Linked DNA regions of Saccharomyces cerevisiae S288C. Changing the gene in region 2 together with the main gene of any one other region gives a genetic interaction. Each region holds a gene or a part of one and is shown on either strand. Other genes may lie near its edges. The genes, in order: YOL131W and YKL162C.

Region 1 (3,166 bases), on a different chromosome or scaffold from region 2:
TTTTGACTCTTTAAGAGCACATTTATTATCAGGCTGCTTTTACATACTTCTTTTGTTTAAAACATTTAAAGACGATCACTGCCCTTCCAAAGGACAAATATATATACACAAACACTAGGCCAAAAGTTCACTTATAATAATTTAGTGGTAATTATGTTGGGTAAAGAAATTGCCAATAGTCTTTTTTTTCCGTATTGTAAGGTGAGACTGAGGTAGCGGCACAAAAAAACGACACATAATAGGATACTGAGTAAAGCAGTATTAAAATAAAAAAATATATTTTACCTCGAACGCTACAAATAAAGCAGAAAAGAACAAAATCGTGAGCATGATGGTTTTTTCGAGCACCTTTATTTTTCTAATTTTGGAGTTAGTTGTACTGTGTGAAGCTTCAGTCCACACCATTCAAATTAAGGACAAGCATTTCGTTGACACAGTGACTGGAAAACCATTCTTCATCAAAGGTGTGGATTATCAGCCAGGAGGCTCTTCCGACGTTAGTGAAAAGCAGGATCCGTTATCCAATCCAGATGCATGCGCTCGTGATATTTTATTATTTCAAGAATTGGGAATAAACACAGTAAGAATTTATTCTATAAACCCGGACCTGAACCATGATGCGTGCATGACTATGCTCGCAATGGCAGGTATCTATCTTATATTGGATGTCAATTCCCCATTGCAAAACCAGCACTTAAACAGATATGAACCTTGGACTACCTATAATGAAGTTTATTTAGAACACGTTTTCAAGGTTGTCGAACAATTTTCTCATTACAATAATACTTTAGGATTTTTTGCTGGGAATGAAATTGTAAACGACAAAAGATCAGCACAATATTCTCCTGCCTATGTCAAGGAGTTGATTGGAACTATGAAGAATTACATAAGCGCACACTCGCCCAGAACAATTCCGGTAGGTTACTCTGCTGCAGATGACCTGAACTATAGGGTATCACTGTCCGAATATTTGGAGTGTAAAGATGATGATAAGCCAGAGAATAGCGTTGATTTTTACGGAGTTAACTCCTACCAATGGTGTGGCCAACAAACTATGCAAACTTCAGGGTACGATACATTGGTGGATGCTTACAGGAGCTATTCCAAGCCAGTTTTTTTTTCAGAATTTGGATGCAATAAAGTATTGCCAAGGCAATTCCAGGAAATAGGTTATTTGTTTTCTGAGGAGATGTATTCAGTATTCTGTGGAGGTCTGGTTTACGAATTTTCACAGGAGGATAATAATTATGGGTTAGTTGAATATCAAGAAGATGATTCAGTACAGCTCTTAGCAGATTTTGAGAAGCTTAAATCGCACTACCAAAACATTGAGTTTCCTTCTATGAAGACTTTAAAGGAAACTGTTCAGATGGAGGAGACGCCATCATGTGCGGAAGATTATGAAAATTTGAAGATTGAATCTAAAATTGCTAAAAATTTAGGAAGTTCTTTGATAAAAAAAGGCGTGAAAGTTGAAAAAGGCAAATACATAGATATTCACGAGGATCAGCTGTCCACCAATGTCACGATTTTAGACAAGCATGGTGACAGATGGAATGGGCCCAAAAAGATTGAAATTAGGCAAAGCCTGACATTGGCAGACCTGGAAGGAGAAGAACAAGAAGACGCAGATGAAGACAAAGATGATTTAAAACGAAAACACCGGAATTCTGCCTCTATTTCCGGCCCATTGTTACCTCTTGGGTTGTGTTTGCTTTTTTTTACTTTTAGTTTATTTTTTTAGACTTTAATGTCGTTCTCCCTTTTTAAAGAGTAAATACATATTTAAAAAAGTGACTATGGCTATTGCTAAACGTGATAAAAATCAGAGCCTATAACACTCTCTGAAATAACGCTATGCAGGAATTTCCAGTTAAGTTCTTCTTGGGGTGACTTCTTTACTCGGTATGATATGTGTTTTATATGCACAGTACGAGTCCATTAGGGTAAATTAGTGGCCGAGAAACTTTTGCCGCCGAGCTTTTAAGTATCCTTTTGCCACTTCTTATTTAGATAAAGACCTGGCAGTAGTAGTCGTAGAAGATAAGATAGACAGAGAATGAATACTAATAAGATAGCACAAGACGAAGTCCAAGATAAGGTTTTGCAAAGAGCAGAACTAGCACATTCTGTATGGAACTTAAGGTTCAACCTCAGTAAAGTTGCCAAACGGATTCGCATGGAAACAAAGGTATTTCCAGAGATAAAGATAAATGACGCGCAATCACAGTTAGAGCGATCTAGGTGTAGAATATTTAGCCCTGACCTGGAGGAAGAACATGTGCCCTTGATTCAAGGCTTTAAATGTTTGGATTCACCCCCTCCCGTTCCACCAAGCTCATCGCAGGGGGAGGATGAAGAGAACACGGTAGATTCGCAATACTAGGAAATTAGAACCGAATCAAAATAGTTCCGATCCTAACTTTTCTACTAATCTTTGAGATTTTATCTCATTAACTCTTTGACCAAGCTATGAAATGCGTAAGATGAACTTTTGTTTGAGAGTGTTAAGTATTTAGGCGTCTACGCTATGATAGCCTCACTCTAGGACGACTGCTTTTTTGGAACAACTTGTTGTTCTCCGATGGTATATTGTGTGTTTATGTATTGTTCTACGTACTCCTCCGTCTCTTTTTCGAGGGCAACGCTTTGAACTAGTATTTTCCGTTATAGTATGTCCCCCCTATATGCAACCCCTTGAATGGACGAATCTCTAAAATATACAACCTTTTCCTCTATAGGAAACAAGTAGGGTCTTCTACGCTAAGGATTACATAACGCATGTATCAAAAACTGATTTTAATTGATTAATTTCAAAATGTCAGCGTAGGTTCACCTAGACTTGTTTTATAGCTCCATTCAACTGGCGGTAGACACAACTAAAGCCAAAAATTGCCTAAAAATTTCAGTACTCTGGCAGCATCTACTCATTTAATTGCCGTAATACATGGGACTCAATGATCCTTAATATGCTAAATGCTACCCCTCCTTTTTTCTTTTTTATTCCTCATAAAATTGCAAATATCGCAAGCACGTTTTTACTCAGCCCGTCCGCTTTGAGATACAAAAACGATATCTGAAATTAAAATTTTCTCTGGAACATGGTCCATCGAACTAATTATGCATAATAACGTACGTTCCTATCCTATGAACACTTTTCTTTTTC
Region 2 (3,823 bases):
ACTTAAATTTGCGACGGAGTTTTGAAGTAGAACGAACACCTTACTCATCCGCAACAGGAAATTTTCACGCAGAACGTGCCTAAGAAAAAAAAATCATATGCGTTTACAGGCACAAATGAAGAAAATGACCGGATATGGATATAAGCTTATGGAAGAAATTGCTCCTATTGAGTTAAGAATATGCGAGCGAGACCTGCATAAGGCTAATTATAACTCTTCAACCCAAATTTGTCTTTCTCTTCACACCCATCTCTTATAGTCCCATATATTCATATGAAAGTTCAATGCTTAGACTCAGTGTGTACTTATGATGTCGTTGAAGGCTATTTGGTCTACTGAAAATCCTACCTCGTACGAATACCCTTATAGTATTATTTAAATATGGGGTTACTATTCGCATTCGTTAGAGTGGTGGGAAATTGATATCTTGTTTGGGAGTTGCGAAACAAAAGAGGAGAAGATATGCGCGCTATGTTTTTCTTAAAAGAATGCCTACTGCCTATGAAATGAATATACTAAACGTAAAAGTGTAGATAATAGAAACAAAGATTAAGGTCGCTTACTGTAAAAAACGTCTTCATTTTAATTCAACGAAATAAAAGAAATCACGTGGAGTGTAGCACCGCCAAAGAGCTATTTTTTATGTCTTCTAGTTGAGGCCTATTTCCATTCTGCGACGAAAGTGTGCTTCTCTCACTTGGGCTAATCCATTTTTCAACAAAATCAGCAACGTCTTCGACTTCGCAGCTACTAGAAGAACTGTTAATACCATTATAAATGTTCTGTAACTGTAAGAAGTCCGTCATGAAGCATATTCTTCCACTCCGTTTGTCTGAAAATATTGAATCCGAATATGGCTGTACTATCTGGCTAGATCCCGTCGGCCGTGGGCTTATTAAACTCTTTAATAACGATATTATTGTTGGGCTCGATCTTTGCGGGGTGTCTACAATGAAAAGTCTATGTTCTGGAATATTATTCTTGATTGTCATCAATATCTCAATTAATTTAGTGGGGATATAAAGTTCTTTACCAGGACTTACATGGGATCGATCATTGAACATTTGTTCTAATGCAAGTTCACATGAGTAGTCAATGGCGCTATCAAAGCTCTTGGATTTTTGTCCATTCTTATTGATATCCACAAAGCACTGTTGCCACCCTTTGTCATCTGAAGAGTACCTTACTAAATCGTGGGTTGTGTATTTTATAACATCATTAAGCATCAAAATTTGGATTGGATCCTCTATGTGAAATTTTTTCTGTAAAAAATATGGGGAAACCGGATAATCTTGTACCAAACTGACTGATCCAGGTATTCCGTCTAAGAGCTTCGAAGGTATTTTGTCACACTTGTATAGAGGTACCATGAAATATTTTATTTTCTGGAACATGTTATCAGATAAAGTAGACTTGAGATATGACATTAAATTTTTGCAAATCTGAATTGCTTGGGGTAAATCCGTGTAAATATTCACAATGTTAAGATCGTAATAAGGATAGTCATTTAATTTGTAATTAACCAGTAGCCATTTGGCAAGGCATTTGCTAAATTGTGGCTCACAGTCAAGAATGTTATCAAATGAAAAGGGTTCTTCTTTTGCGGTTGTAGTTACAGGCTTCCTTTGCGTAAAAAAATTTTCTCTTTTCATTATGTTTGGGAAATTTTGCCACTCTATGTAATCTTTCAAAGAAATTCTCGCAGTTTGGCCTCTTCTTATCCCATTTGTAGAGAGTAATTGCTCGAAAGTAAACAGTGGGTAATCAGATTTCAGATGAACTTGAATTCTCAAGGGGTGTAATCTTTTCATCATTCAATCCCGCCAAAAGCACCTTTAAATGATATCAACTTTTTTGTGAAAATATTAGTAAGCTATTTAAAACGGGAAAGAAAACTTGAGAGAGGACTGACGAGGGAATCATGTTTATATTCGGATCATCGCGAATCTACGCAATGGTGTATCCTACTTTCTCACATTTTGGTTTTTCCCGCTTTCGGAAGGAACTGCAAAACCGCCGAGAGGACTTTCTCTTTTTGCAATATTTGAAGTATATACCAATAATTAAGAAGGTGAACAGGCATTTTACATATTCATTATAGATAGTGTATGTGCGCATCTATTAGTTGTGGTTTTCTGCTACAAAAATTTATCGTCTAAATAATTCAAGTTCTTTTTCTAGGTCGAAGAAAAAATCGCTGTCATCCTCATTTGTATTTTGGTTTGTACCATCATTGACATTTATATCGTGACCTGGGGGAGACGATGAAACTGGGCTCATTTTTGTTATATTTGGCTCAGTAGGTCCGTTCAGTAGTTCACTATTTTCATGCTTAGTATCTTGTTTGAAGGTGTTTTCCTTTTAGTTAACACCCTGAAATGAATTAGAGCTTATTCCCATAAGGTTTTGATATGGCTGGGTTGTAGTTAGTGATGGAAGTTGGCTTACATAGGAAAATTCAGGACTATAACTGGGTAAAACTTTCCTAGAAGGATGGACCTGTACAACTTCTTGAGGAATGGCATCCTCTAAAGATAGTGATGATGATGGGGAATCACCGCTAATAGGATGTTTTCTAACAACTTTCCTGAAATCAAATACTTCCTTTATAACTTCGTTTCCTAATTCCGCCATACTTTCGATATGCTCGAATTCGAATCTAAAGGTCTTTTGACATGAGAATTCCTCATCTATATCATGCCACATTGACAAATATGGATGCTCTAGTGCATCCTCTACAGTAATCCTTTTTTTAGGATCAAATTCTAGCATTTTCTTTAGCAATTCAAGCGCTTCTGGATTAGCACCAGGTAGTATGCTTTCAAACGATCTTCCCGGGATATTACCGAACTGAAAGATATAATTATACACCTTTTGAGAGGCAATTTCCTGCAATGTTTCCTCAGGTGGTGTTCCAAGTATTTGTAGAATATGATTCAAATGATCTACATAATCCTTCCCTTCAAACATTGGTTTCCTACCAAGTAGTTCGGCCAAGATACAGCCTGTTGACCAAATATCGACAGCTTTTGTGCATTCTTGATAATTCAGCAAAATTTCTGGTGCTTTATACCATATCGAGGTTATATAACCCTTAATGAAGCCGTCGTTAACCTTGTGGTTTTCTGAATAACTACACGATAGCCCAAAATTACAAATTTTTAGTTGGCAATCACTATTAACAAGTAAGTTTTTTGGTTTCAGGTCACAATGTAAAACATTAGCAGAATGTATGTATTTCAGAGCACACAGTATCTGATATATGAAGCTTTGAAAGTGTGCGTCTTCCAGGCGTTGTTCGGACCTTATAATTTGAGAAAGGTCACATTCCATTAGTTCTTCATATAAATAAACGCCATTTAGTGCCCCATTTGGGTAAAATACTATATCAGTATCGAAGAGCCACACTATATTTGGGTGCCCTCTTAAATGTCTTAGTAGTTTCAATTCACGAAGAGTTCTCTTGCAAGATAGTTTATTGCCAAACGCGTTTGGTATTTTTCTGATAGCCACGTGAGTTTCCTCGTTCGATTCTGTGTAAGTTGAAGAACAAATAAGGCTGTGTGAGCCCCGACCAATCTTACCTGTCAAATGAAAATGTTTATTTAGGATAAAATCTTGGCCGAATGCACGGAAAATACACCTCTCGGTGTCAGTCGCCATTTAATTGTGAATCTTTCTTCGATATCAAACTATTCCAGGCCGAATTAATCTGGCGGTAAGTCACCTTTAGTTATCCTTCCATTTTGTCCCTTTTCATCCAGTCTCAAACGACAATTAGGACTTACATTAAATAGGCTTTTTGCCTAGTATAACATCATAA

What was found.
Region 1: mutations in YKL162C (region 2) and YOL131W together harm fitness more than expected from each alone (negative genetic interaction), as found in Saccharomyces cerevisiae (one large-scale study listed by BioGRID).

The regions. Positions count from the first base shown.
Region 1 is NC_001147.6:70,972-74,137, forward strand, and holds YOL131W (uncharacterized protein), read left to right. Parts: upstream 1-2,059; coding exon 2,060-2,386; downstream 2,387-3,166. Other genes in the region: GAS4 (1,3-beta-glucanosyltransferase), read left to right, coding at 329-1,744.
Region 2 is NC_001143.9:147,025-150,847, forward strand, and holds YKL162C (type II protein arginine methyltransferase), read right to left. Parts: upstream 1,815-3,823; coding exon 606-1,814; downstream 1-605. Other genes in the region: putative protein kinase KDX1, read right to left, coding at 2,362-3,663. UniProt on the Saccharomyces cerevisiae protein: Arginine methyltransferase involved in the assembly or stability of mitochondrial NADH:ubiquinone oxidoreductase complex (complex I).